Linked DNA regions of Alligator mississippiensis. The protein of the gene in region 2 purifies or fractionates together with the protein of the main gene of each other region. This does not show direct contact. Links are inferred from orthologs where the notes say so. Each region holds a gene or a part of one and is shown on either strand. Other genes may lie near its edges.

Region 1 (10,055 bases), about 72 Mb from region 2:
ATGGCCCGTCCTCTAGGAAATTACTTCTACCAAGCTTGTTACACAAAGTATTTCTGTCTCTAGGGAAACATTAGCCCAGGCTTAAGCTTGAATAGCTCAACAGGTACAAGACCCTCTCCCACTCTCCAGCCCAGCAAGCACACCTCAGGTTGGAAAGGTGTGGGATTAATTCTGCATCATCTATGATGCAGAAAGAACAACAAAGGGAAAGGGAAGAAAGGGTCTTCTCACATTGTATCTGGTGTCTAGTCCACGATGGCTAAGTAATTGCCTCTGCTGTAATTTCAAGTCTCCGTTCACGTAGAGCTGGGACCCTGGAATTGGAGAGAAAGACTGCAGAAAAGCCATGCTCTGCATCACAAATGTTGACATCCTCTGAAACAAAAAACAGGAGAGAGAACAGAATTTAGAAAAAAATATATACACATTTTCTATCCTTATAATTCTGTTAAATTTCTTCGGGGTAGAGGGAGAGGAAGGAGATATTTTCTATTTTTAACGTCAGATAATTATAGACATGAGCACATTCATAAAATAGCGCTTATTTGGTTATTATAAGTAAATGACTTCCACTGCTCCTTACACAAGCTCTAGAATAAAACCCACCAAATTGTGCAAGTCTAGTTTGAGAATATGATGCTCCGCAGTAGATGACAAAAGCAAATACCTGACCAGTTCTGACACGGCAAACCATCCAGCTAGCTGGCTCATTTAGGCCATGAAATCTACTTCTTATATTTGTGGACACAACCAGCCAAGCATGAGGAATGTCAGACCCTCCCACATGGTACCAATTATTGCCCACACTTTTCCCATTGAACAGAGTTAAGGTTGCCAGGAAATCTTACCTCTACGTAGCCCCTTGAGCCTAGGAAACTGAATGAAAAGTACTCCTCCCACTGCCTAACTACACTTCCTTACCCCAGTCACTCTGCAGTTAGCAATATGGTGGTATCAAGCCCACCCCAGCCTTTCCCTACCACAGGCTGGTATTATACTGTCTCATGTCCAACACGTTACAATGCTATAATGCCCCACACCTCCTGATCCTCGCTGCACTAGGTGCAGCCAGCAATAATCCACTTATTCATGGATTAGTTGCAAGAAGTTGCTAAATCTACATCGCCATCTGAGGAAATGTAGGGTTCCATTTATACTGGCCTGTGACACCCTTGGTTTAATGGGTCAAGGCAGCTCAAAATAGCCCCTTGACTCTAAAATCTAAGAGCAAATGAAAGAATTGCAAAAAAATAGGTCTGTGGAGGTTCCAGGCTTCTGCAATGGTTTGCCATTTATGTTCAGAAGCTGCCATACCACTAAGTGTGGCAAGAAGATAAGGGGCTTCTAACAACATAATCACCCCTTTCTTAGGTTGTGTTGTATTCTTGGTGTCAGTTGCACAGGGATCACTTGATTTGCTGCTGTGTACTCTCAGTGTCCCCTGTGCAGCCCTATTGCCCCTGGGGGTTCCAGAAGATTCCTAACAGCTATTACCAATTTTACAGAGAGCCACAGAACTCACTTAGGGGAAACCAAAGCTAGTGTCCTTTTGGGAAGGGGAAAAAAAAGAGAGGAAGGAAAAATAATCACTGATTAATAAAAACTAGAGCTGATATATGTGTGTGTATCTATCTATCTATATATATATTAACAATCAATTTTTTTTAAATTATTTTTGCTATACAAAGTTATGTTTTTTTAACAAATGAACATAAAGTAAATTCTGAACATAATACAACTTATGTTAATACTTAAAATTAGGGCTGTCAAACAATCAAAAAAATATAATTGCACTAAAAAATTAGTCGCAATTAATTATGATTTTAATCACACTGCTAAAAACTCAAAATTATGCACAGAGAAACTCAAAATTATGCAGGTACTTTGTATGGTTAGAGGGGGGGATTTGTGAAGGTGTGGGGTGCTGGGGGTGTGTGTGTGGGGTTTAGAGCCTCGGGGGTGGGCAGCCCCGAACACCCTGGCAGATGTGAGGTACTGTGGGTCAGGAGTAAGGGACAGCAGCAGGGCTGGGGGGGAGGGCTGTGGCTTGGGAGTGAGGGGCAGAGGTAGGGCACGGGCATATCACTGCCCCCACCCCACTAATCATATTACCACCTGCCTCCCCACCAATGCCCTCTTTTTTTAAACAAAGTGTGGTAACCCTACAGGAATGCAACTCAGCAGTGTGTAGAGCAGCACCCAGCAAGTAAATCTGGAGGGGAGGGGCCACGGGGAGAGGGAAGGGGCAGGAGGGGCAGACTGAGGCCCCCACAGTGAGGGAGGGAGTGGGGAAGGAGCTGGGGCGAATGTGGCCCCAGGGCCAGGGCGCATCATGGGACAGAGCTGTGGGAGGCTTGTCCAGGGACATAAAGTACGAGGGATGGAGCTCCCTGCTGCTGTGCACACCTGTGGGGGAGGCATGTGTCCCCCAGATTTATGCACAGGGCAGAGGCAGGCTGCCCACTGTAAGCTGACGCTCTGTGCCTGCTGCCTTTGGCCCAGGAGCCATGTGACACTATGTTGTGCCTCCCACCACAGGTGGGCAAGGGACATGCGGCACAGCCAGCGTGCAGTTCCCAGGGCAAAGGCAGGGGGGAACAGAGCCCCAGCCTGCAGCCCATTTCTGCCCCATACACAAATCTGGGGGGCACATGCACCCCATGCTCCCCACAGGGGAGCACACAGCAGCGGGGAATCGCACCACCCCCATGCCCCTGAACAAGCCACCTATGACTCCGTCCCACAACCCACCCTGGCCCCGGGGCCTCATTCACCCCAGCCTCTGCTCCAATCCGTCCCTCACCATGGGGCCTTGATTTGTTGCCCCGTCCCTTCCCTAATAATTGACAGCCCTACTTAAAATTTTAATCTCTTAAAAGCTATTTAAAAAAGATGCATTGAATTCATGAGCCTCCAGCAAGAATTTTTACAATCTGCAAGACGTAAGCTGTACGCTTTTCCTAGACAAAGCAGAAACCAGGGAAAACATCTCACTTTCTGAGGTCAAGCTTCATAAATATGGCAGAACAGATTACATGCTATGTTGAGGATGCAAGTAATTGGTAATGCCATCACAAGCGTTTGACCTGGGCTCAAGCTCTAAGACACAACTTCAGGAATCATCCAAGTCCTTCACTGAGGCCAATACTCTTACTTTACAGCTTGCCCTTCTCCAAGCTCTGATTGGCTCCTTTCTCAAATTATTAAATATTTATGATGCCACACATCACAGAACATTATGATGTGACTATACACGTGTTAAAGGACCCTCCTTGGTAGCAAAATGATATAGCAAACCTAGTGTAAACCTACATGTTTGGACAGTTTCATCAACCAATGGAAATGTACCTTCCCTTATATCAGTAATTCTCAATCTGGGTGTCACGATCCTTTCACGAGTGCCATGGGTTGCCACACAGTGTTATCGCTGTTAGGCATGCAAACACAATTGACAAGCTAAGCCCAAAGATTTCAAATAGGAATCCAGAGTGTTAAAAGCGTTCTGACCTGTTGTGGCCCAAGTTCTTTGCAAAAGAAAAACTGCTCTGTCTATAGGCAAAAAATGACTAGAAATTCAAAGCTGGCACTTTCTGAAAGTTGCTTTGAATCTAACATGGAGTGCCTTGACTCCAAAAAGGTCGAGAACCACAGCCTTACATTAAAGGAGTACAAATGGAAAAGCGAATTAGAATGAAAATTCACTGTTCTAAAAATAAGTCGTAACATAAGTCTCACCTACTAGAGTATTGCAATCACTTCTCTTTTCTGTTATTATCACTTTAGATCAGTGTTCCTCAACCCATGGGTCACATGTGTGACCAAAAGTGGGTCACAAGAATATATGAAAGGGTAATGAACAAGCTTTAAAAATGGATTCTCCTTTAAAAGGAAAAAAACGTGGGAAACCGCGGCTGCCCCACAACTGGGTCGGGACTGGCCATCGATGTTCACAAATGGGTCCTGTACAAAAACGCTGAGAACCGCTGATTGATATCATTGCTACTGGGAAGCCGGCGCTGGCTCTGCACCGAGGAGCACTACAGGCAGACGGGGACTCACGTGCAGTTGGTAGGAGAAAGTCAGAATGAGCTGCACGCCAAGCACTTGCTCCTCTGGCTTCAAAGGAAGCTCCAGTTTAAAATGCAACCGGTCCATCTTGCCATCTTGATTCTTATCTTCTTCTCTAGTCTGCAAGTAACAAGGAACCCTAATGACGCTCTGGCCTTGGTGCTGGTGCCAGCACGGTCCCAGCGGCAGACCCTCGACACTAGGAAGGATTTCCAAGGGGGAAGAGCATGCATGGCCCCGGCCTGCAGGAAGGGGCTGGAGCCGAGCCAGGCCCGCGGGCTGTGCCCAGAGCAGCGCTTGCAGCCACCTCCCACCCGCGGCAGGTGACAGCCTGCGCCCAGCCTGACCCCAGGGGCCTGGCCGGGCTGCGGCGACAGCGGACGGGGGAACCGGGCACACCCCGGCCCCGGCCGGCGCCGCCACACGCACCGCGACGAGCGGGACGCGCAGGCGCTCTCCCTGTAGGCGGTTGAAGGCGGGGAACGTGCTCCAGGCCAGGCCGCCGCCTGGCGCCGCCGTCGTGGCCAGCAGCAGCGCCTCGTAGCGGAAGCGGACGGCCGGCTGCTCGCGGTACGCGGCCTGCGTGCGCCACAGTCCTGCGGGGACGCGCCGTCAGCCGGCAGCCGCGGGCACCCCACCCCGCCCCGCCCAGTCCCACCACCCAGCCCCACCCCGGCCCCCGGACCCGGACCCTAGCCCCGCCCGGCCGCGGACCGTGGCTGCGGTAGGCCACGAGCAGCGGCGGCACGTAGGTGAGCGCGCCCAGCAGCGCGAGGCCCAGGGCGGCGGCGGAGCAGAGCCCGGCGCGGTACCGCGTGCGCTGCGCGGGCTCCGAGAACAGCTCCACGCGGCCCATGGCTGCGTCGCCATAGCAACCGCGGCCGGCGCGCGGGGACCTAACCGAGCCAATCCGCGCGTGGCTCCGGCTGGGCGGGGCCAGTGCGCGGCGGCCAATAATAACGCGCCTACGTCCAGCAGCGAATCAGCGCCTGAAGCTGAGGACGCCCGAGTCCCGCCCCCCGCCCAGTCAGTGTCAGCCCAGTACCGGCACCGTCCACTAGTAAACGTCACCACAGCAGACGCCGGGGGCGGGGACTAGCAAGTGGATCACGTGGCCGCGGGGCGCGGCTTGGCTCCGCCTCGCGTCACCGGTCCCGGATGTCGCGACCCCGCCCCCTCCTCGTTGCTCGGTCACCGTGGGCCGGAAGCTCCGCAACCTATTCTGGTTGCTGGGCAACGGGGGGGCCGGAAGTCCCGCCCGCCGAGCTGTTGTTGTTGTGACAGCGACAGGCCCGGCCGCCCCCGGAGCAGCCCCGGCAGCGCCCCCGGGCCGCCGCGACCCCGGCTCCGACCCCGGCAGAGCCTGGCCCCGCGCCGCCATGAAGTGGATGTTCAAGGAGGACCACGCGCTGGGTAAGGCCGGACACCCCGCGCCCCCCGGGAGGCCCCCCCGGCCGCCCGGCCCCGCACTAATCCGCGCGTTGTTCGCAGAGCACCGATGCGTCGAGTCGGCGAAGATCCGGGCCAAGTACCCAGACCGCGTCCCGGTAAGTGAGCGCGGCCCTCGGCCCGGCCTTCCCCCGCCCCGCCCCGCTCGGACACCGCGTCGCGGGGCTCCGCCCTCCGCATCCCGCCCGCCCGGCCCGGCCCGGCCCGGCCCGGCCCCTCCGGCTGCATCCTGTGCCCCCGCCTCGCGCCGGGCAGCGCAGCCCCCGCGCCGTGAGGGAGCGCATCCGCTTGCCCGTCTGACTGCCGCCCACCACGGGCCCCTCCGCGGCCTTCCTCGGGTATGACCCGGCAGCTCTGGAGCAGTCGGGGACCCGCCCCCCCGTGGCTCCCCCCTGTTGGGAGCTGAGCCCCATTCCTCGCCTCCCCCCGGCCTGGCAGCAGCATCTCCTCCGGCTGCTCTGGCAAGACGTGCCTGTCTCCATCTCCCCTGCCTCCTACCCCCTCGAACTCGGCGCCCCCCTTTCATTGCCTCCTGGGGTGCGGTCCCTAGCCCGCGGACCAGCTTTTGCTGATGATCAACACGTTTCGATAGGTGTCACTTTCCCTGGCTGTCTAATCAAGGTTCAATCCTAGCCGGTTACCAGCTTCTAGTAAGGAACCTGTGTGAAAAGAAAACATCTGAGATGAGGCTAACAATACCCTGCCACCTCCTGTGGAGTGGACGCTTGTGTGAGTGGATGGAGGGAATCGCGACCGAGGTGCACTGACGGGTGCAGTTGTGTTGGGTAGCATCAGTGGGAGTTCAGATGTCTAGATGCGGTCCCGAATCTCACACGCAGAGTCCCTCTCAGGGAGCAGCAGTGACATGCTGCTTGTTTCTCGTAGGCCTCAGGTTTGTCTTTTAGGCCTTCTCTGTGCTTGTAAAACGAGCCCTTGGCTCGGTGCTGTGAGACGGGTGCAGGGAAGAGAGCGCTGGATGGGAACTGAGGACACGTGGGTCTCAATTCCACACAGGTTTTTTAAACCCCTTGATGGTAGCCACGGTGGGGTTCGCTCCACAGTGCTTTTAACAGGGATTATTTTCCTGATGGGTGCAGCTGCCATAACTTGACAGTACCAATTTAACCAAATAAATCATAACTATCTTCAGTGAGTCATCCTAGCCTGATCCCAGCCGACTTTCAGTGAGCAGGTATCCTCCTCTCTCGCTTCCATTCTCCTGCATTCATGTCTGCAGTTCAGGAATCTGTCCCAGCAGTGGAAGGTACATCTGCGTGGCTGTTCTCAACGTGGCTAATAAGCTCATGTGGTGTGTCCTGCAAAATGTGGCTATATGCTGGTACCTGACCTTACTCATCCACAGCTAGCTTGGTATCTGCACAGCGTGACATTGTGCCTTGCAGATATATCCGTAGCTTGAAGTTGTGCATTAAGCTGAATCCCTGCTTCCTTGTCACAAGGGATAGTGTCGTACCTCTCTGGGGACTGAGGTGCAGGATTGCCAGACCACGTAGGTTTGTCTTTGGTTGTAAATCCAAGTAAGAATGGCTTCCCCTATGACTTATAAGGCTGGAAGGTCTCTGTGACACTGTCCTGAACTTTGTTTTGTAAGGAATAAGACACTGCAGGACAGCTGTGAGGTTCTGCTCTGAAGATGTGGCTAGAACAAGCCCGAGCAGCAGGTGTCCCAGATGTCTCCAAGTGAGATGGTGTTTGTACAGTGGGCCTACTCCTACTCCAGAGAGACCTGTTGTAACTAAAGAAATCAGCCTTTTTTCAAGAAGAGCCTTTCCAAGTACCACTTTGTATCACTAGGAATAAAAACAATAAATAGATTTTATTGTAACTTAATTTTTAAATTTTAAATGAGAAATTTATTTGAACTGATTTTTAAATAGATCTGCTAAAAGTCTGACAACCTATTTTAAGGCCTAGTTTTATAACAAACTCATTCTTCTCTCCCCCCCCCCCCTCCCCCCACCACACCCACACCCTCACACTTAAGAGTTGATATGTGGGAGTGTGTATTTACTGCCAACATTTTTAATAAATCAAACCACTGGAGTAACCACCTGCAACCAGATATTATGAAGTACTAACAGTCCTGACAGCAGTAGTTTTTCCTGTAGATTCGGGGAAGCTATTTTCTTCATTTCAGCTTATTCAACTAGTTAAGTGCAATGACTGGCACGTTCAATTTATAAAAAAATAGTACTTGAAAAAGAAGTAAAGTTTGTTTTCTTCTTCCAATCTATAAATAAGTGACATATGAAAAGATAAGATCTACTAGTTCTAAAATTCTAAAGCCATGGTGACCAGAAACACTCAGTTCAGTTCATGAGCTCCAGAAAGTTTATTCATTTATTTGTACAATACATTTGTTTTAAAAGAAAGCGTTGCTTGATGCATGCTATTTTTGGATAGCCAGTACATTTAAAATTTTTAACTCAAAAATAATTTTATTTTTTATACACTTATTGGCATTCCAATTCCCATCCAAATAGAGTTTGATAAAGGGCATACTCAGTTGCAGTTAACGTACTGTGAGGCTTTCCAGCCTCAAGAATCATTCCCATGTAGGGCCTGAGAGCCAGATGTGGCACACCAGCCAGCACTGCTTCTTTGAGATGACCTTTAGGGGGTGAATCTTTGGGGACCCCCCAAACTGGAGTTTAGAGTTGCAAAACAAGAGTCAAACTCTTTTTTGTTTGGTTTTTTTAAATCAAGGTTTCCAGCTTGGTGATCTAAATGGACAATTTTAATCAACTTTCTCTGATTACTCCACTCTGTCATTTACAAGATATTTGAGCTTTCATTGTTCAGAAATAGTTATCTAAGTACCTGCAGTCATCTCTTTAGGCTCCCTTCTGCATCCAAGCAGCCAAGATTCCTGTAGAATCGCTTCTGTTCACTTGAGTTTTTGGTTAGGAGCCAAGTTGCCCAATACTAGGGGTGTTTCTGAACCTTGTAATCCCCACTTGGGACAGGCGTTGGGTCTTGGAGACCTCAAGACCTACAGCCAGGGCAGTCTGGAGGACAAAGGTTAAATAACCCTGAGGAAATGGTATTTTTCAAAATAAATATCAGTTATTAGGTTTTGAAACCCAGTTCCCCTCTGTAGGCTGCTGCTGCTGCTGCTCTTTGCTAAGCATGTACCAGCCAACCCTTGTGCCTCCTTTCTTTACCCCTGCAAAGACAGCTGTGTGACCTGGGGCAGAGACGAGCACAATCCTCTCTGAACCCCATTAGGGAACTAACTGCAGTCTAATTTCCTTTCTGGCACTCTGAAACTACAGTGACAGGCATCATGGAAACCTCTGAGAGAGTGCGGGGAAGGGGAGACACTGGTACTTGCTACAGCCCCCACCACCACACGTTGCATTCTCCTACAAGGCCTAGCATGTTAGTTGCTGTTGGTGTCTGGCATCAGGGAACCAGTGTTGATCAGGTCTTGACCTGCAGTTGCAGCTAACATCAGATATCCCTTCATCGCAGCAGCCTCCTTCCTTTGGTTTCTGTGGCCCTTCTCCCAGGACTGCCGTGACTTCTCCCAAGCTATTATTCCCAATTCAATACAATTCACAGCCTGCAGGGACCATTTTGGTCAGCTGGGCTCACCTCTCCATGATATAAACCAGAGAAGTTCAGCCAGTGATTCATGTATCAAGAACAATAACCTATGGTGGAGCAGCAGACAGATAACACGTCTGCCTCTGTGATTCATTTAGGTAACTTGCTTAGCATTGTCAGATTCTAACCCCATTTAATACACTGCCAGTCTTCTTCATTGTGGAGATACTTTCCAGATGAATGTCATCAATATAGCACTGTCTGCCTGGGTCTGGCCACAGCTTGGAAAGCTACTTGCAGTTGTGAATTCCTGCCAGCTCCTCTTATCTTATGGTTGTTAGCCCTAAAGCTTAATGATGCTTTAAACGTTAGCATAAGAATGACTTTCTGGCTGGCTTCCTTCTGAAGCTACTTTCCCCAAGCTTTCATAGTGTAGGGGGAAGGGGAGTCCTGCCTTGATGAGTTTTCCATCTGGGGTTGATAGGTGACAGTCCAACGTGGGTCCCATTTATTTATATATTAAGCTGACTTCACTCTCCTCTCATAACCTTTCACTGCAGCCAACTGTAGTAAGAGACTGTGCACACTTATCTGGAGCTCTTTACTCACTAGTCCCAGTGGGTTATTGCTCTGAGATGAGTGCTGTTGTGGCCTGCCTCAGTCAGGAAAACTCACCAGAATAAAACTCCCTGCTCCTTATCAGGTCCCTGTGGGTGGAGCAAAATGCTAACAGGCCAGCATGAGAGGGCTCTTTGCAACCCTAAGGCTTAGGAAGAAAAGGCTTTTTTCCTGACACCCCCCCTGCCGCAGGTTCTGCAAACAGTGGAGTATCTTTGCCTTTGACCATGTTAGTAGGTAGCTGCCAGTTAAGAGACTGTTTGCTGCCCAGTATCTATTAATGCTGAGTTCAGGTTGTCCAGCAGAGCTCAGACCTTACCAGGATGCAGAATGACAGTAAAGGTAAGTCT
Region 2 (9,689 bases):
AAAAATTTTCAGTTTTAAAGTTATAGAAACATAAAGAACACTTAAAAACGTAAGTTATGCCAACTCTTCCTGAATTTTTTTAAAATGTTTTTTCCCGTTGAGTTATAACCATTACTTTTGTGTTGAAAAAAACTGACGGTAGCAAGGCAATTCTTTATGTTAAATGTGAATGCTGTACTAGTTGAGGGAAGGGGGGAGAAAAGTATTTCAACCATTCAAAACAGCAAGTTAAAGAATTACTTGCCATTTCATTTCTTTCTATACAATGGCCAAGACCTGTGGAACAGTGACAGTTACAAGCAGGGAGTAAAGGAAAACCCTCCAAAAAGTCAAATGCTACTAAAATGAAGTTATTACCTGAGGAACTGTGAAATAATCATTTTCTTTTGTCATAATTGGATCTCCTTGTCTGTAACCATTAGAAAGTTTTTCAGGAACAGTTTGTAAAGGGATCTTGAATGAAAAAACCTGGGATGGAGAACTGGAAACAGATTTAAAAATAAACAATTCTTGTATTATCTGAGGCAATCTTTACATGTTCTGTCCTTTAAGATTTCTTTCCTAATAGAGACAACACCTATGCACACATACAATAGCCATTCGCTTTCACTACGTAAACTTAAAGCACATACATTTTTCAATGCTAATTTGAAATATACCTGTAAATAATATTTAATCATATAAGCAGCTTAATAACAATATTGGCATCTCAGAATCATTAGATACATTGACAATGATTTTTTTTAAACTTACACAGAGCCATGGTAGAAGTAACCAAGAAAGGGTGTATTGTCAAGGGAAGACTGTACACACAGGAAAGGAAACCAGTCAGGAACATTGTGCGCTGCCTGAACAGAGCATAGCTGGTCAAAAGGCGGGCTTACATTCCCACCAAACACTCCGGTGAAACAGGATCCACTGAACAACTGTTTCAAGTCCGAGGAGCATTCCTTAAAAAAAGAAAAGAAGTTATTTAACAAGATAAACCATCTCTCCCCACCACCGCGCTAAAGCCGGGCTTTCATCATGACAGGTGATTATCAGAGGAAGTGTTATTTAAGAAGCTGTGGACCAATCTCCTAACATTCCTCGGTGTTACAGCGAGAACGGAGAGACTGACACAAATGTTATGCACTGACTACAACACATGTAGCTGCCCTATAACAGCCAAACTTCGTATGACCTTTAAATGTTTTAAATAAAATAAGTTGGATTTGTTTGTTTGCTTGTTTGCTTTGGGGGGCTCGTTTTTAAATCTACTATTAAAACACCAAAGGACAGAAACAATGTTCTCACTGAAACACAGGTTATGCTACAGTTTTATATTGGTTTAAAATGATGCATGTACTCCTCAAAGTCCATGGCAATAAAAACTAAAGAACAATATTTGACAAATAATTTCTCAGGTATGTCAGTGGATTTTGTAACACTTCCAAGACAACTTGGAGTATAAAAAAAATAAAAGGTATAACTGAAAAGTTAAATATGAAATCAGTACCTCATCACAGCAGCAGCGAATATCACAGGCTCCAGCTGTCAGGTTACAAGGACAAGAGCCTAAAGGCTGATACACTTGGTTTGGAATGACTGATGCATTTTCTATTAAAAAAAGTAATGCACAAAAAATTTAGACCCTACCTAAAGTCAACATGTTATCTTACATTGCAATCCCACTTATCAAAATTAGGTGACCACTTTCCTTTGAAAAAAAAAAAGTAAAAGAATGTCTGCATCAGAGTTCATTCTTACTGTGTGTAACTTATTTAAAAAATATGTTAAACATAATTCTGGTATCTTTTATTCCTGCTCTAATGGCAGTTTTTCATTACCTCACATTTAGGTCCAATCACTTATACCCATACAAGGAGAGCCATCCAAAACTCCAACTTTTAAATGCATCACTAGTAACATAAGAAATTAGAAAAATCCTTTTTATATTAAAAAACTGTAGATTGACTCAATGGTAAGCCATCATTCAAATCTGCAGTCCCTACATGATGATCTCCACTTTCTTTCTACTCAAAAAAGTGTGTTAATTAATTGAAAATGTATTAAAATGCCATTTACTTGTTTGACTTACCAACAACAGAACTGCTAAAATAATTTAGCTCATAATAAACTGATTGAATCAGTATTGCACACAATCAAAAGGGCAGGAGTATAGTCCCAAAAATTACTGGATGAAAAGCAAGTCTGTTGAAAACAAATGATAAGTTTATCTTTGATTTCTGCAAAGCCAGAATTTCACCTGTTGTCTACAGGTTGCAGTTTGAAGCAGTAAGAGCTAGTGCATCATGGGTTTTAAAATAATCATCAGAATGCCTAGAAAGACATACCAATATTCAAAAATAAAATATAAAAAAACCCAGAAGACTGATTTTGTACTAAGGCTACACACTTACCCGACACGTTTCCCATAAAAGAAGAGTTGGCATATATTTCAGCTTGAATCAGGAGATATGCCAGCATTTTGGAATCACGGCAAGCAGAAACTTGAAGAGTTTCAATAATACAGAGGGGCTCTGTGCAGCAATCAGTAGTATTGAGCAAACACAACTGCAGGTTTCTGGTCACACTCACTGTCACTTTGGAAGCATCCTGAAAAATGTCAGATAAAGTTTGATGGTCAAATGTACATGATTATACTTAGTTCTACACCGCATTCGGAGAAGTTTCAGTACTGTTGCATATCGCCTGGGGTACCAATTATTTAAGAAGGAATATATGTTTTGGGAGGAATGTGAAAAATATGCACTGGGATTTGCAAATAAAGGAGGCTGTCATGTATATACAGTTTATGAATATATCCATACAGATGAAATGCATTACCTCAAAACTTAGATGCAAAAGCCTAATGCCAGGAAAAGGATTTAATTTTTGGTTTTCTGTAGAATCCTTCTGAGAAGTGAGAACAGGCCCAATTCTGGAGTCCATCATGGCCTCGCTTTACCTACTGTACCAGGATGGCCACTGAACAATGCAAATCCAGTGATCCCCATTAGCACTGAGCACGATACTTCTGCAGAAGTTCCACAACCATAATAGAGAAAACTGATAATTTTGTATTTAAGTGGCACCTTGCAAAAGATTTTGATGACCATCACAAGCTGCAGGCACGTGACAGCAAGCGTGGTTCTTCCTTCCAGCTAGGATGGTACCAATCAGCTATAACGACAGGACAGCACTCAGGCACAGGACAAATGGCACCTCCAAGCCCTTACTCTCATGAAAAGCACCCTGGGAATTCTGGTGTCCAAAATCAGGGGTTCTCCAAGAAGCAAAATGCCAAGACAAGAAGCCAAACCTGGGCATATTATGTATTACCAAGTTAGCATCACATAAATTCTTAACACATTAAATCTCAACCACCTACAATGACAGGGAAGAACTATTATTTTACATACCACGCCAGGTGTTACGTTCAAACTCCAGTCACCAGCCCTTCTATTCCCACTACAGTCTGAAAGTGGCAAGAATCCTAAATTCCAAAAAAAGTGTGTTAAAACTTGTTACCTTACTGTTAAGCACTCTCTTCAGGGCAAAATAAAAAAGAATTCAATCCCATTGTTACAACTGGTGCCGCACGGACAAACTCACTATGCCTCTGCAGAGCCCCAGAGTCAAAGGAGCTCTGAGCAAAGCCCACTTTAGAATCAAACCCTTCTCGGATCAGCAGCAGTTCTTTCAAGCTCCGGGGTTGGTAACGAATGAAGCACAGGGCCAAAGCAATTATAACAGGGTATGTAACCATTCTTCCAATTACGTCTGGGACTGGAAGTGAATTAAGATTTAAACCAATGTTTACCAATGGGTCATTTAAAAAATGGTTTAAAAAGTCCTCTCACCTGTCTCAGCATCCATATGATTTACTACAGCGAGAGAGAAATTGACTCCTGCTGAATTCCCAGTTAAAAAAGAATTGACAACGGGCCCGGACATGTAGATAAAAGAAGGCTGAAAGACTAAAAAAAAAAAGAAATGACAATGAATTTTCATGCTACCCAAAAAAGAAGGAACAGATCACATTTGGGGCGGACTTGGATTCATTTTTCGTTGCTGGTGCGTTAAAGTTTAGTAGTGGAAAAGTGATGTGGCCATGACGGTGCAAAAATGACACAAGCAGCAAGGATTTTTTAGGGTGGTTTTGTTTATTGGACCAGCTCTGTAGTTAGAAAAGACCACTGGGAACGCACCTCCCACAGAGTAATCACCTCGCCTGCCCTGCCCTGGCGCTCCGGGGAAATGAAATCTACCTCACACCTTTAAAGGGCGAACCTAGGAACGGACACATGAGCCAGAGCGGCTGGACGCTAAGAACCACGGACGAAACGCTGATGTTGGATTTATGGCCTAGTTATCCAATGTATCCAACCCTTGAATGCTTTCCCTGCAAGGGTGGTGAGACTGCCCCCTCTCCCTTTCCACAAGCCTCGTGCCCAGCGCACCAGGAGTCTCTCTCCGCCCGCCCCCTCTGCTCTGCTCCACTTGCAGCACAGCTCTGTTCGAGGCCCCGAGGAAGGCGGTTTTGCACTGAAAAGCTGGCCTGACTTTATCCCAACTACCGAGCTGGTCCAATAAGGGAGAGGCCACCCTAAGGGAAAAAGGGTGCCGAGGCCTTGCAGTGACCCCCCTCGCACAGCCCAGCAGCGTCTCTACGGGGAGGCCCGCACCGCCCACGGGAGCCGCCTTCTCCCGCCGCCTCCCCGGGGGCCGCACCGAGCGGGCCCTGCGCCCCCAGCAGCGGCAGCAGCGCCGCCATCACGGCCCACGGCTGCGCGGCGGCCGCCATCTTGGCCTGGGCCCGGGTGCCATGGAAACGGCGGCGGCCGGAAGAACCCGTCCCCTCCCAGGCGCCATGGAAACGGCGGCGGCCGGAAGAACCCGCCCCCTTCCGGGGCTCTGTTACAGCATCCTCTCGGGCGTGGAAACTGCAGCCGCCGGAAAGGCCCGCCCCCTCCCGGGCGCCATGGAAACGGCGGCCGCCGGAAGGGCCCGCCCCTTCCGGGAGCCCTGCCCTCATCTCCTTTGTGTCCTCTGTGAACGCCGCGTGCCGCAGGCCGTCACAGCACTGCCGGCAGCGTTGCCAGCGGTGATCGGAGGCTGCCCGCAGTGTCAGGGGGGGGGGCAAGCGGCAACTGCCTGCAGGCGCCACCAGCGGCATCGGCGGTGCTTTTTGCAGGGGGTGCACTGCCAAGCTCGGGGGTGCACATGCACCCCCTACCTGTCGCCAATGACGTCCAATATTTTTCTCTTAAATAGACGACAGAAAGGAGGACATCTAAAAATAGAGGGCATATTATTACTCTTGAAGAGAAAAATAGAGGACGTAAAAATGTCAGGTTTCGCATCAATAGAGGACAGAGGAGCAGAAAACCAAACGTCCTCTATGATGGCCATGAATGCCATTGCGTCGTGCAGTGAAACCTCCTGAAATAGATACAAATGGAGTTGGCGAGCCTTGGCAAGATCCTGACTCCAGGGCGCCTGGAGAGGACAGGGATGGGATGGCTGCGGGAGGCTGGTCACCAAGCCCACCTACAGGAGGAAATACTGTGAAACTGCTCTTATAACCATGACGGTTGTTCGAAAACTTTAAAATGACAGGGAAGGCAATGCAGAAATCTTTTTTGTTCTTCAGCGCTAGGAAGTCCCTCCCCTTAAACACTCACTCAAAAGTATTCCTCTTCTGAGGCAGCAGAGTTGGGAACCAAGCCCCCCTCCTCTACAAGCTGGTATCACTCGCTCACTCTCATCCGCTGTGATTTTAAAGCTACTGCGTGGCCACACGCACAAAATCGGCACGGGAACATCAAACCTTCTGCATGACCATTAAACCTTTGGCAAAAGGAATCGAGATGTATACATTATACCAAAGGTTCCCAAATTATGGTACACATACCCATAGGGGTACACAAGACATCTGGTGGGGGGGGGGGGATTTTGTAACAGCGGATTTAATTTTCATTATGATAATTGTCATTTAAAGGTGTTAAAATATGCTGCTAGGGGTATGTGGGCAGCTGGTAAATCAGGAAGGGGGTAAAAAAAAGTTTGGGTACCTCTGCATCATACCACAAGACCAACAGTAGAGCTTCGGACTTGCAGCTACCACTGCCTGATATCATCTCTGGTGCGGGGCTTGTACAAAACATTTTAGAACTTTTTTTTTTTTTTTTTAATAAATGAAAGGAGCAAAAGATGGAATTCCTATTCAAATATTACTAGAATAAAAAGAAAGGAAAAGGATTTTTTTTTTAAATAAAGTCAGTGGTTTATTTATTACAAATATTCATATAAAAAGAAATTATAAATACTGTGTTCAAATAAAATGGTTTTCAATCAACAAACAAGCCAGTAAAAAAAAAAAAAAAAGGTATTTTTGATAAAACAGTTACATAGACAACAACCCGATGAAAATGAAGTCTCAGTTGCTATATACATCTTTAAAAAAGAAACTGAATTTCTCTAGTCTTTTTTTTTCCTAAATAGAAAATAATGAGTTCCCTTATACTTTTGAGGAGCACATCAGTTATTAAATACATGTTAAAACACCAAATATGCTGTTACAGTTTAAAAGTAGACAAGGATTTTTAATTTTTTTAGATCAAAACAAAATGCTTTGAACTGAGAACATGCAGTGTGTGTTCACATTCTGAGATACAAAAATATCATTGCAAAATATGCAGAACTTCCTTCTTAAGTGTCATGTGAATGCTCTAGGTAAGCCATACTACATTAAAACCTAGAAACAAATCTTATTATCATAGATCTAAAGTGTTTTCCGGTTTCAAGAACCATCTTAAAATCTAATCAGCAAGCTTACCATTCTAAGCTGACACTCATCTGAGAAACAAAAAGGGACCCCGTAGTTATTTTTCCAAAGTGAGGAAAGTTTGTGTTAATGACCTTCAGCAGGAAAATTACTCATCTGCGTATTACATGGTAATAGTTACTCAGATGAATAGATTTCAAACAATATTTGTTTGGAGAGAAGATATCAAAGTGAGGAAGGAAAAAAGAAATGCCCAGAAAGGACATAATGCCACTAAAAAAATGGTGCAGTGGGAAAAACAAAAAATCAGATTTAACTCTTTACAAAGGAGAGCAGACTGTAAACTGTGTTGAAAACCTTGGGTCATTTCCCAAGAGTCTCATCCTGCTGCAGCCTGCCTGCAGGTAACACTTCCAAGCAAGTCAACAGCATTCTGATTCCCCGGGAACTGCAAATTAGGTCTCTAACTAAGATCTAGATCCCACAAGTGCTGATGGCCATACTTAGGTTTGCTTTAAACACATGTGCGTAAGTGTTTGCCGAATCAGGGCCTTGTGCGCTCTCAGGCTAGAAACCTATTCTGGCATCATCAGGACACTGCTTGCTTCACAAGTATTTAAGAAAAAGCAGTGCTTGGTTTCCGACAATCACAAGCAAGAATGTGGTTTTAAAAATCACACGGATTAGGCACCAACGCAACCATTCATCTAACGAAAGGGCTGGTGCATGTAATGCATGACACTTACGTGTTTAGTCCTTAAGGAATTAACAACAACACCTGAATACAATTCTCTCTCATCCTTTGGAAGAAAAAAAAAACCGTCACCAACTTCTAAGTCATATTCTGTTTAACAGAACTATATGCATGAGGTAACAGCGTGCATCTGTAAAGTTGCTATACAGCTACTCTTAGTTTCTTTTTCTTGGCCTTCAGGACAGGAGGCAAGGAAATCTTAAAAGCAGTCCTGAAATAAAAGCAAAAAAAGTCAGAATTCAGGCATGCTGAATGAGTTTCCAGGCCTAACCCATAACACGCAAATAAGCTAAAAAAAGAACACTTACTCGCATGTGCTACAGATAGGACTGAAGTTGCAGAATACTAGAAAAGTAAAAAACAGTCCAGTGTAAGTAAAATCCATGCCTCAACACAAAATAATTTAGGTCACTTATGTATAAAAGTGTTTGTACACTTACTTGACAAACACACAGAGCAAACGTAACCGATTTCAATGAGATTGCGATGGCAGAAGCAAGCAGCTCTATAGTCAACATGAATGGGGGGTGGAAGGATGAGTTGAGATCTTTGCTCTTGGTCAGGAAGAAAAACCCACTGTACAAGTAAAAGTAGGGTGTAGTTTAAATCTGGGAGAAAAGTACCAAGTTAAATTAAAGAATTCTAGCATAAAGGAAAGCAACCCACCCATCTACCAAGTACGTTCTTCTTTACAACTGCACTGGGACAATAAACAGGCAGAAGACTTTTTCCCATGTTCTTCCAGGAAATGTTTTGATCATCGCATCAGCATCCAGTATTAACTTTAAACACACTCATCTAGTGATTGCTAGAGGTGACAGAATAACACCCATGGAGACAAGTCACCGATTGACTGATACAGAACAGACAGGGGCAATGGGGAAACTCCCCTACCCACCACCACTGTACTTCATATTTTGACCTGGTAGGAACACCTCTGCAGGAAGGAGAGTTTGCAATCTTCTTGGGCCACAAAGTTACTGATCTCTATGCCAAATATGACAGTTGACCCGAGCAGGGTGTGGGGCCCAGGGCAAATCAGCCTGCGCAGGGCCCCACCCCTGGATGCCAGGAAGCTGGCAGTGGATTTGGCGGGGGCAGTTACCAAGCAGCCGGACATGAAGCCGGCGGCAGTGCGGAGTCGCCACGGCCGCTCCGCCCAGCTCCCCACAAAGCACAGGGTCTGGGGCAGTCACCCTGATTTGCACCCCCCCCGGGGACAGCCCTGACCATGTTTATAAGTTAACTGTCCATTTTGATCAGTCCTGTGTTGTAGGTGACTCACAACTGGGAACTGGAATCAGACCACGTCATTTATAATAAAGCAAGAAACAGCCATCAGATAATCAGACCTCTGAGTCAGCCTCCATCTGGACTGGGATGGAACCAGCAATCCAGGAGCAAAGGTTAAAAATACTGCTTTTTCCCCTCAACATCCCCTCTTTATAAATGCAAAATATCAGATGCTAAGCACAAGCACTTCAGCTAAGCAGTGTTTTTAAACACCAAGACATACTTCCCCTTATTCAGTTCCCCAGTCTGTCATGTTAGGATATTCTCTCACAACAATGCAACTTTATCTTTTACTAAGCCTGTCAGGCTGACCTACAATGAGCAAGCCATGTGTGAAAGTCCTCCTGCAAGACTCCCCCCCCCAAGTTGTTTCCAAAGCCCTCTAATTTTCCAAGGCAACATCTACTGAAGCAGAAAGAAAATGAAACCAGAACAGCTGAATCCCTGCAAGCAACTGGGGTTTCTAAGTCTCAATTTCTCGGTCAGCTCATGGAATCTACCCCCGCTCCCAACTAAGTCGATAGGAACTTCGGAAGCTGCTGCTCTTGTTGCATGCTCTTTTCACATTCACTTACCAACAAATACTGCAGAAGGGACGGCATGTGGGGCACTTTCAAGTATATGCCTCCTGTGATGTCACAAGCCTGAAAAGCACATGCTATAAACACTTAGCACAAGGACAATCTGATATATGCCTCAAGAGAAACACCTACATGCTACAGAAAGGCTAGAAAAGCCATATAAGTCCTACAGATTTCAAATCTTAAAGAAATTACTTGCCCTAGATACTCTCAGTCCTGAATCATCTCTGGGAAAGCTGGACAGGGGACAACTCTCCACACAAGAAAATGTTTTTTCCGCTGGTTACCA
Region 3 (10,661 bases), on a different chromosome or scaffold from region 2:
TCTCCCTCCAATGCCACAGCTCCTTTTTTGGCCTCATTAAGGCGTACTTTTGTCTCAGAAATATCCTGCTCCAGAGGTTATGTGCGCGTGCACACACACACACTCTTCAGGACGCAGGGCAGCAGGCAATGTGGTAAGGGCAGGGGCCAATAAAATATGGCCTACGGGCCAGATCCAGCCTGCCAAGGGATTGTGTCTGGGCTGCAGGGATCTGGGCCGGTCGCCATAGAGACCATGCCCGTCTGCCCGCTCCATTTGGTACCCCCCACCAGTAGGTGCGGGACAGATGGGACCGGGCCAGGTAGGATCAATTCCCTGGCCCCTCCGCCCTGCCATGCCAAGCCAAGCCAAGCCATGTCAACATCCCCTGCCCCCAACTACACCAGGTCAGCACCCTTTCGCCCCCACCCCTCCTCCCCACCAGCTTGCCACCGTTCCTGAAGTGGCCCCCAAGCCAAAATAATCATCCAGCCTGGGTAAAGGGAAGTCAGTGCCCAAGTGGAGATAGGCACTTGGGGCATGCTAGCTTGACCTCGAGGGAACAGGGAGACGGGACTGGAAAGCGCTGGAGTGGAAGCCAGAGACCTTTCAGCCTCCCTGGGTGAGAGCAGGGGAAGGAAACGACCACAGAAAGAGCGGAGGAACCTTGGGAGCAAAGGGATCTCTGGGACAGGTCTGCAGGATTTAGAAACCTGACTAGCGTGTCTTCGAGAAATGCCTCCGAAGCAACTGATCAGTCGGCAGATAACAGAACAACCAGTGGCCGGGCCCCCGTGCAGCACTGCAGGCATCTGCTTGCTGTATTTGCAGAGGAGGAAGGAAGTTATTGGACCTTCTGCCTTGAAACATATCCAGCAGCTGCAGTACCCATCACCTGCATGCCCGAGGAGCAGAGCCAGACTGTAGCTGTAGAAAACTGCCTCTATGTCACACCGTGGCTTCAGCATGAAAGTGTTCTCAGAGGATGCTGCAGGTTACCTTGAGGTCTGCCCCTTTGATCAGAGTCATACCAGTCGCCGCAGAGAGACTGGACCGGGGAGGTTTGCCTCCCTCGTTGGTGGGGAACACGGCCTCTGCCTGGGATCCGAGTGTTTTTCAAGAACCTTTACAGAAGCAGGATGCTGGCTGCCAGGGCCCCCTGCTTTCCCTGTGGCAGGTTTGGGTTATGTCTGGCGTTGTGTTGGGACTGGCTGTAGTAGAGGTTAGGTGATGGGGCTGGATAGGGATGGTCCTGCCTCGGGCAGGGGTTTGGACCCAAGGAGGCCCGCGATTCTGCGATTCCAGCCCTACTGTTCTAGGAGTCTGTGAACAGTGGGGCTTGACAGCAGTGCTCCAGACTCTCTGGATGATCCCAGAATAATTATTTTAAGAACACAAGCCTTTTACATAGTACTCTTCTCAGAAACATCCTGCTAAAGCAAGCACCTTGATTACTCCCATTTTCACCCTGAATTTTTATTTTTCTAATGTCATTGAGTGGTCCCTTGTTTTCATGTTACAGGATGGAGAGAGGATGGGACTGGCATGCCTTTCTATTACACACCCTCCCCAAAGACAGGTTTCCAGGCTCTCAGATTTTTTTTATGTGGAATTCTACTCCCATCGCTGCTAGCTATGCTCATCACCTTTCTGCCTCTGCTGTTCAGTCTCTCTTTTGAAAGATGTTCTCGGCAGCTGTGTCTGTGCTACTCTCCGCAGTAAGAGAGAAATGGTGTTTTCCCTCTTCTTTATGGCAACCCTTGAAATATCTGAAGACTGCTGCCCTGTCCTCTCTTCAGCACCTTTTCTGCAAGCTAAATGTGCTCAGCTCCTTTAGCCCTTCCTCGTATGACGTGCTTTCCAAGCTCTTCATCATCATTTTTGTCACCTACCTCTGGAGCCTCTTCCTAACTTCTCCACGTCCTTTTTAAAACGTGGAGCCCAGAACTGCACACAATGCCCTAGATGGGGCCTAACAAGTGCCACGTAGAGAGGCACTATTGCCTCCCGTCTCTTGTATCTGATGCTCCTACTGACGCTCAAGACCACATTTGCCTTTTATGCAGCTGCACCACACGACACCCCAATGAGTCTGTGATCTACCGAGACTCCCAGAGTGACCTCATGAGGCCGCATCCAGGACAACCCCCTGCTCATGGCAGGATCCCCGCCCCCCAAAAAACACCCTAGAGAAGTATATTTCTTTCTAACCTGTTCTTTAAAACTTCCAGCAATGGAGATGCCACTTCTCCAAGCAGCTGGCCCAATGCTGAACCACCTGCACAGAGAAAGCTCTTCCTGATCTCCAAGCTAGATCTCCTTGTCCTGACCCCTGTGGCCACAGAAGAAGTGTGCTCACACCCCCACCCTCCTCCAAAAGGGGAATTAGTAATCAAGTAACAGTGACTGAGATATACAGACCAGCACTTCCAGAATAGGGCAGGCTCTGGCAAGATGCACGAGTGTCCACGTCCATCTCTAGAACAACGGATGAAGCAGTCTTGGGCACCGCAGGAGAGGTGGTGGTGCGTGCTCAGGATTCCTGGATCTCTGCATCAGAGGCTCATGTGGGCCCTTCTGCTCCTCCTCCGCTCGTCCTCCTAGAGTTGCTGAGGCCTCCAGGCAGCCCAGGAGCCAGCTCCTGTTTCTGAAAAATCTCCATTTTTGCAGGAGAGGAGGGAGCAGAGAAGGCTCCCGCCTACTGCTCTTGTACCAGGCTGGGAAGAAACGAGCAGGGGCTGATATGCTCCCTTCCCCCTTCTTTTCAAACACAGCCGCTCCTCTACCTACCTGCCCTGAAACAACTAGTGGCCCCTGGGCCTCAGCACCCTCTCTGCGAGATCGCTCCCTGCTCTTCCAGGGGAAAGGGGCAGATGGTCCACCTGCAGGAGGAGAAACAGCTGAGGCATGTTGTGGCTTCAGAGTGCCAAGAGAACACAGGGGCAACTGCAGCCTGAAGCTGGCTCTGCCTGGGAAGGAACAGAAGAGCAAAGGAAACAGCTTTAGTTGTGCGATTTTAAGAACAAAAGGAAGGCAGGGGCAGGCCAGGAGGGACAGCACTTGTATATTCTACAACAAATTGTTTAAACCCCTTCACAAATCTTTCCCTACACTTAGTGATGAGACAGACCTATTGTCTTTTGACTCCCTGCTGCATCTTTCCAAGGTCACTGCCACACGTTCTAGCCTTCAGGATTGGAGCAGCGCACCCGTGGGAAGCAGATGTTGGAGGGAGCCAGGGCCCTGAGGCAGAAAACTGCTTTTCCTGCCTGCTCCCCAGTCTCCCTCTCATCCGGCTGAGTAACAGCCAGCCCTGACCCTGCAGGGGCTGGGGAAGGGGAATCCCTGCGGGTTTCATGTGCCCCACCTGGGAGGAGGAGCACTTTCCCAGGGAACTGCCAAGGTCATCCCAACCACTGGCAATGTCTTCTTTCCAGGATTGCAAGGAGAAAAATAAGCCTTCATTTCAAGCCCCCTTTCCCCATAAATAGGGCCTGCGTCCACTGCCTGAACAAGTCAGTACTACATTGCAGTCTGAATAGCTTTTGAATCTTCATAATGTGCCATTTTAGCTAAGCAAAATCTTAGCAAAGCAAGCCCCAGATGTTAACTACTCTAGGCCTGATTCTCCTCCCGCAGAAGCCTTACCCATTTAATTCAGCTGCGCTGGACATAGGCAATATTAATTTAGCCTAGCTTAAGGGAGGGGAGAGCCATGTCCTGTGAGCACAATGCTAATGGATCAGATTTAAGGATTCCTGATTAAAACTGGTCTGACAATTTGCTTTCAAATGAAAAAAAGGAAAATCTATTATGCTTGGAAAGTACGATGGTGTGAAATTCAGCTGGGGAGCTTCAGTGTTGTGTTCCTTAACTGAGGCATATACTTTGCCTACTCAGAAGAAAGGGAGAGAACTGAGAGCTTGAAACAGGACACTTGCAAAGTCAAGGACAGGGCTGCTTCCTTGACATTCAGTGTCTGGAAGACTTTTCATTACAGCTACCTCAAAAGCAGCCTGACAAATTTCTTTTTACAGAGTGGGGAGACCGAACTATGCAAAAAACCTGCAGGAGTGAGAGTAGGTCTGGTTCTTGAGCTGCTTGGAGACAGAAATGTGAGACCCCATCACAAATTAGGGCCATTTTTTCTGATACCTCAAAGAGCTTTGATCATTTGTTTCAAGCAGCGCAGCCTAGCTCAAGCCTTAGTCTTGGAGTGACAACTGATAGCTCCCCAAGACTGCTATTTGTCTTGCTGCTGCTTTTTGGGGGAGGCCATGGGGGACTCGTGTGTTTGTTTGCTTTCCAGGTTCTCTCACCCCAGGATCTATCCCTTGTGACAGTCCAGAGAAATTGTAAAAGCCTTCACATTCGATGTATAGACTTCTTTCCTCAGCTTTTCCCTTCAGGCTTTTTCTCTTTCTCTGTGTCACATTATGTGATGACTCTCACCTGCAGTGGTTTCAAACCTGATTTAGCAGCAGAGTAGCTTAAATTCTAGACTCTGTTGTCATTTTTTCAAAAACATCTCATTGTGCTGAATTTCTTCCATGCTTCTTCTCAACCCAATAGATATTTTAAGGAAGTTTAGAGGGAAAGACAACCCTTAAGTACTTGTTGTGTATTATGTGAGGCTGAATTTTTTTTAACTTATTAAAATGTTCCTCTGACCCTAACAGAACATGGGTAGAAGAGCGCCAGGCTGTTTGTTCAGGTGCATTATGTGCTGTCTAGTCCTTTGCATATGTGCCTATTAAGAGTAAATAAGTAATTCTGGATTATTTTGTGTATACTATTCCTAATTAGAGCTTAAAAAATAAAAATGGACTCGGTTCCAAGTGGTTCTGGCCTAGACGTACCCTCGCAGGGTGGCACAGAATTCATATGACTGTGCCCAACAAAGCAGGTGGGCAGGGACAAGTCTCCTGAACCAGGTGGATTCCAAACAGGACGGCCAGGGAAGGGCTTTCAGAAACTATACAGGAGGCAAAGAATTTCTTTTTGACTAAACGTTCAGAGTTTCTGTGCTCCCAAAAGACTAGTTGTCCAATTCTTCCAGCAGTCTGTCTCCTTGCCTGTCTCGGTCTGTGCTGCGCTGGCCTGTCAGGCCACACGCCTCCTTCCCTAGGAGTAGTACGTTTTCCCTGCTCAGGGTTTCCACAAACAAGATTGTTTGCACCCCCGCAACACGATTTCCCTCGTCGTCTTCAACGTGGCCGTTGCTCCCTTGCTCCGTAGAGGCAGACCACTGACTGCACACGTTCGGTGCGCCTAGGCACAGGCTTGGCGGCACCTAGTGGTGTTTCTTACCCCCCTACCCAGTCCATCGGCCTTCCCAGAGCACCGCATCTCCATCCTCCCGCGGTTCTTTGTTAGCGATCAATATTCAACTGTGTCTACGATGGACTGAGACTGGGACCCCGTTATGCTTTGTGCCATACAAATGGGTACCACGCAACCAGCAGGACGAACATCACGGTGCCAGCAAATAGCACCTGCTTCCTGCAGTTCCTTGAGGGGACTGAAGATAAGGGAGCCAGATGCACGGAAAGAAACCTGAGGGCACAGGAGCTTTTCACAGACGGTGGTCTGGGGGTAAAGCAGGGGAGAAGGGTATGAGGTGTGGACTGAAGCTGAGGTGAGAACATGAACGTCTGGTGCCTCCCGAGTCTGGGGGCACCTGCAGATGCCGCCCAGTCAGGGGGCACCAGCCCTACCGACAGGACCAGTGTCAGCTGTCGGGGGCAGGTGCGCCCCGTGCACCCCCGACCAGCTGCCGCCAGCCGGCGAGAGGACGGCGCGGGGAGGAGCGCGAGGACACAGTTATCAGCACCGGGCAGCGACAGCCGGGCAGCGCCGCAATTCTCCGCGCGGCTCAAGGTCTGCCTTTCGTCCGCCTCTGCTGTTCTTCCGTGTCTGCCGGGACGCGCCTGCCCCTGCCCCGGACCTCGCGCTCCCCGCAGGCGCCGGCAGCCGCTGAGCCCCACGCGGGACACGGCGCAGCGCTGCCGACAGCAACCGCCGGCTGCCCCTGCCGTCGGAGCGGCGCCGCGAGCGCCCGTGGGCCAATCTGGTGTCTTGTACCAGACCCGCGCCGGCAGCCCGAAACCAGGTATAAGGCAAGCCGGCGCGCTCAAGACCCGCGGGCAGGCTCAGGTATTTCTGCAGCCGGCGTGTGCGCTCCCCGTGGTGCCGCGGGGCATCGGCCCCGGGGCGCCCCGCGAGGGACGGGCACGTTTCCGGAGATCCTGGGTCCGGCGCTCTGACCGCCTCGGCCGGAGACCCGCGGGGCGGGGCGGGGCGGACAGGCGCGACCCACGGGAACCGCAACTCGGAGCAGAGCGGCCACGCGCAGCTGCCGGCGGCCGCGACGGGCGGGGCGGGGCGGGGCGGGGCCAGGCCCGGGGGCGGGGCCTGGTGGGGCCGGCCCGCCTGCGCGATGACGTCACACGCCTGCGTGCCGGTTCCTTAGCGACGGGTTACGTCATGGACGCGCCGCTGCTGCTGGTGCTGCTGCTACTGGGGCCGCCGGCGCGGGGGGGGCCCAGCCCCGACCCCCCGAGCACCGACCCCTCCGGGCCCAGCCCCGACCCCCCGAGCACCGACCGCCCCAGCCCCGGGCCCAGTCCCGGCCCCCCGAGCACCGACCCCTCCGGGCCCAGCCCCGGCCCCCCGAGCACCGACCGCCCCGGGCCCAGCCCCGACCCCCCGAGCGCCGACCGCCCCAGCCCCGGGCCCAGCCCCGGCCCCCCGAGCACCGACCCCCCCGGGCCCAGCCCCGGCCCCCCGAGCACCGACCCCCCCGGGCCCGGCCCCGGCCCCCCGAGCACCGACCCCCCCGGGCCCAGCCCCGGCCCCCCGAGCACCGACCCCCCCGGGCCCGGCCCCGGCCCCCCGAGCACGGCCCCCCCCGGCCCGGAGGCCGGCCCTAGCCCCAGGCCCTCCGCCGCCCGCCCGAGCGCAGCCCCCGAGGGACAGTCGCCGCCGGCCGCCGGCGCAGGTAGGCCCCGCCCCGCCCCGCCCCGCCCCCCGTGCCGCCGGCGGTGCCCGCTGACCCGTCCGTGGCGTCGCCCTAGGCTGCCCGCCCGCCTGCCCCTGCGACCTGCGCCGCGGCGCCTGCGACGTCGCCTGCTGCTGCGACGCCGACTGCGACCCCCGCTGCGACCTGCGCCCGCCGCGCGCCGCCTTCGCCCGCTGCCTGCCCGGCAGCACCAGGTGGGCTCCCCGGGGCCGCGCGCGTGCGAGTGTCTGCGTGTGTGCACATGGGGCTGCTCCTGGCCGTGTGTGCGCGGGGCCATGCCCTGCCCTTGCACACGTGCGCGCAGGGCCTGGGCCGTGCACTCCCTTCTCGCACGCCCGGTGCCGGGCACCGTGCTGTCAGGCCCGCGAGAGCCGGGGCCGCTCGCAGCAGCCGTACGACCAAGACTGGGCTGGCGTCCGGCCCTCGGCAGGCGCTTGGCCGTGTCCCTGTGCCCGAATCCCTGGGCTCCTTCGCAGGGTCGCCAGGAAAGGGCTCGGGACGCTTCCCCAGCCCGGCGGCCCCGTGGCTGGCGAGGCCGTGGGGCGGGCGAGGGGGCGGCCGGGAGAGCGCAGCCGGCTGGGCGGGAGCGAGGCCGGCGCTGGGAGGAGGCGCGCTCTGGCCTCCTGTCCCCGTAGCGCTTGTCCTCCCGAGGAAGCCCAGGTGCCTCAGATGCAGGCTTCGCTGCCTCCTGGGTCCCTCCCCGTCGCGATTTGAAGATGGAAAACAGCACCGTGGAACAACTGGTGAAGTCAGTTGTCCCCTGTGAAACCTCATGTCTCTGAATTAGCGCCGAAGGTGCCCCTGCCTTGTGTTGGGCCTGTAGGATAACTCCCGTTAGGAAATGAAGAGTAATGCAGCATCCGCTCGGTTGGCTGGGCCGTGGGGTGGATTTAGGAGCGGAGAACGTACATGTGGCCAGGGCGGTAGGGTTCATCTTCCCTTTTCTGTGTTTTTGGGCAGGGCTAAGACCCAGGTGTGTGTGGAGCAATCGCTTATTTTCAGAAATAACACCCCGTATCCTACGGAAACCGTCACTGATTCCAGTGGACAGACTCGGCTGTTCTGTGTGCAGCTGAACGACTGTAAGTAGTCTTTCCTTGTGACACCAAATTCCTAAAATGGGCTGGGAAGGGAACACTAAGGTGCTTGACCGAAAGTGTAAGGCTGGGTGAGAGGTGCATCCGGTTACCTGGCGGCGGGAGGGCAGAGGTACGTTCTCCGTACCGAGTGGAAGACAGTAGGGTCACGGGAAAGCAGGGCTGGAAGGGGCCCCGTGAGCTCATCTAGCCCAGCCCCCTGCTCAAGGCTGGATCATCCCTGACCAAACCATCCCAGAGAAGCGTCTTTCTAACCTGCTCTTGAAAACTTCCGGGGATGGAGATCCTACAGCTACTCCAGGGAGCCTGTCCCAATGCTTGATCACCCTCATGCTCAACAAGTTCCTCCTAACGTGTAGCCTAAACTGTAGCCTCTGCTGCAGTTTGAGGTCATTATTCCTAGTCCTGTCCTTTACAGCCACCCTCTTCTTAATTGTCCTTGAGGTATTTGAAGGCTGTGCTCCAAACCCCTTCAGTCTCTTAGCCCTAGTTCTTTCAGCCTGTCCCCATGACTCTTCCTCCCAGGCCTCTAATCAGTTTTGTCACCCCACTGGACTTTCCGAATTGTCTGCATCCTTCTTGAATTGTGGGCCCAAAACAGGAATTCAGGGGAGGCCTTACCAGTCCTAAAATGAGCAGAAGAATTGCCTCCCTTGATATGTAAGAGACTTTGGTTAATGCACTCCAGGTTGCTGTTGGTTTGGGGTTTTGTTTGGTTTTTTTGCAACAAGAGCGCACTGTTGGCTCGTATTCAGTTTGTGGTCTACTGTCACCCCAGGTCTTCTCTGCAGTGCTACAGCCTAGCCAGTCATTCCCCAGTCTGTATTTGTGCGTGCAGTTGTTCTGTCCCAAGTGCAGGGCTTTGCACTTGTCCTTCTTGAATTCATTCTGATTGATTTCAGACCGTTTCTCCAGTTTATCCACGTCTATTCTCCAGTGTCTGAAACTTCACCCAGTTTGGTGTTGTCTGCAGATTTGTCAAGCATGCACTCAATCCTATCATGCAAATCATTATTGCAGATACTAAACAATACTGAGGACCCCGGGGGAGCCCGACTTGATGCCTCCTTCCATCTAGTCTTTGAACCATTACATCCTACAGTCCTTTCATTTCCTCAGTGTTTCCTTAGCTTGTTAATGAGTGTGTTGTGAGAGATGGTGTCAAAAGCCCTGCTAAAGTCAAGGTAAATTCAGTGACACATTCACTGCTCTCCCCCACCTCCACAGAGCCATCTTACATCTCTCACTATCAGGCAGATTTTCTGGGCCTCTGAATATTCTTCTATCTTTTTTCTGAACATTTGCGGATTTCTTTCAACATCCTTTTTTTAACTGTGAACGTTAGAACTGAGCACAGTAGTCCAGTAATGGGCTTGCTAATGCCATGTTCAAAGGTAATATCTCCTCTCTGCTACTACTTGATATTCCCCTCTTTATATATCCAAGGGTCCTGCTTTGCCCTTTTAAGTGTGACCTACATTCTTTGTACCTAGAAGTATGACCTTGGATTTCACTTTATTACAGTACCTGTTGTTCAGATGTGCCTTCTGTATTTAGCTTTCAAGATTGGTCTGTGTAAACTGATCTGTCCCCATGATTATTTATCTCTATAGCTTTGTGCCCTCTGCAAATTTTACCAGCAAAGATTTTATATTTTTCAGGTTACCGATAACAATATTGAATACTGTTGAGCCAAGAAGGGGTTCTTGTAGGATGCCAATAGAAAGCCTCTCTTTTCGGAAGACTTCCTCATTTCCAATTGCTTTGAGGTTTATCACTTAGCCAGTTTTGAACCATCTAGTAGGGGTTATGTTGATTTTTGTATAGTGTTAATGTCGGGTACCTTATGGAAATCTGAAACTGTTTCAACACAGTTACATCTAGCATCCATGCTGAAAATTAAGCAAAAAAAAAAAGGTAAGTTTGTTTGACAAGACCTATTTTCTATACACCCAGATTGATTGGCATTTAATTATCCTAACAGCCTTGACTCATTGTACCTCACCAGTGTTCCATCATGCCCAGCTCTGATGTCAGGCTAAACAACCTGTAGTTACCCAGGTCCTCCTTTTTGTCCTCTTAGACTACTTATGCAACATGTGATTTTTTTTTTCCCCCCCCTCAGTCTTCTCTAATGATTTGATGTTGGGGTTGGTTTCTTTTTATTCTTTCCCTATCTTTAGCAAAGCTGAACTATTTTCAGCAGCCACAGGAGGTTACAGAATCAAATTTCCCAGTGCTCTTGGAGCAGTATGGTGGCCCATCCTTTGTGTCACCATCACAACCCATGCCACCCCCCTCTGCCTTTTACCGGGTAAGTTAAAGGAGTCCTCAGAAGACTGTCATAACTTTTCTCTGGGTTTCCTAGTGGTGACAAGAGTCAGTGCTGGAGGGAGAAAGATAGAAAAAAATGTACATTTAACTGTTCCCCCCACAGTCCTTATTTGGGGTTCAGTAAACCAGGCTGTTGTCTAATGGCATATCCGACTAACCATATGCATTGTAAATTATTCCAGAAAACCATCTTGGGAACATTACTTTTATAATGTGTTACACCCAAGGAA

What was found.
Region 1: the proteins of TCTN2 (region 2) and TMEM231 purify together in Homo sapiens (affinity purification with mass spectrometry; 3 studies listed by BioGRID and IntAct, counting the BioPlex papers as one, with this or other methods). This does not show direct contact. The link is inferred for Alligator mississippiensis from reciprocal best matches to the Homo sapiens genes TCTN2 and TMEM231.
Region 3: the proteins of TCTN2 (region 2) and TCTN3 purify together in Homo sapiens (affinity purification with mass spectrometry; 3 studies listed by BioGRID and IntAct, with this or other methods). This does not show direct contact. The link is inferred for Alligator mississippiensis from reciprocal best matches to the Homo sapiens genes TCTN2 and TCTN3.

The regions. Positions count from the first base shown.
Region 1 is NC_081833.1:77,752,911-77,762,965, reverse strand, and holds the start of TMEM231 (transmembrane protein 231), read right to left. Parts: upstream 4,940-10,055; 5' UTR 4,925-4,939; coding exon 4,783-4,924; intron 4,665-4,782; coding exon 4,498-4,664; intron 4,189-4,497; coding exon 4,060-4,188; intron 376-4,059; coding exon 232-375; intron 1-231. Other genes in the region: GABARAPL2 (gamma-aminobutyric acid receptor-associated protein-like 2), read left to right, coding at 5,448-5,481, 5,560-5,615. UniProt on the Homo sapiens protein: Transmembrane component of the tectonic-like complex, a complex localized at the transition zone of primary cilia and acting as a barrier that prevents diffusion of transmembrane proteins between the cilia and plasma membranes.
Region 2 is NC_081833.1:5,966,277-5,975,965, reverse strand, and holds the start of TCTN2 (tectonic-2), read right to left. Parts: upstream 4,840-9,689; 5' UTR 4,790-4,839; coding exon 4,717-4,789; exon of another isoform or gene 4,671-4,716; intron 3,963-4,670; coding exon 3,846-3,962; intron 3,479-3,845; coding exon 3,405-3,478; intron 2,599-3,404; coding exon 2,403-2,598; intron 1,600-2,402; coding exon 1,499-1,599; intron 951-1,498; coding exon 754-950; intron 482-753; coding exon 358-481; intron 1-357. Other genes in the region: GTF2H3 (general transcription factor IIH subunit 3), read right to left, coding at 7,668-7,737, 7,835-7,871, 7,967-8,102, 9,395-9,463.
Region 3 is NC_081829.1:101,207,049-101,217,709, forward strand, and holds the start of TCTN3 (tectonic-3), read left to right. Parts: upstream 1-6,450; 5' UTR 6,451-6,465; coding exon 6,466-6,979; intron 6,980-7,055; coding exon 7,056-7,194; intron 7,195-7,960; coding exon 7,961-8,082; intron 8,083-10,280; coding exon 10,281-10,411; intron 10,412-10,661.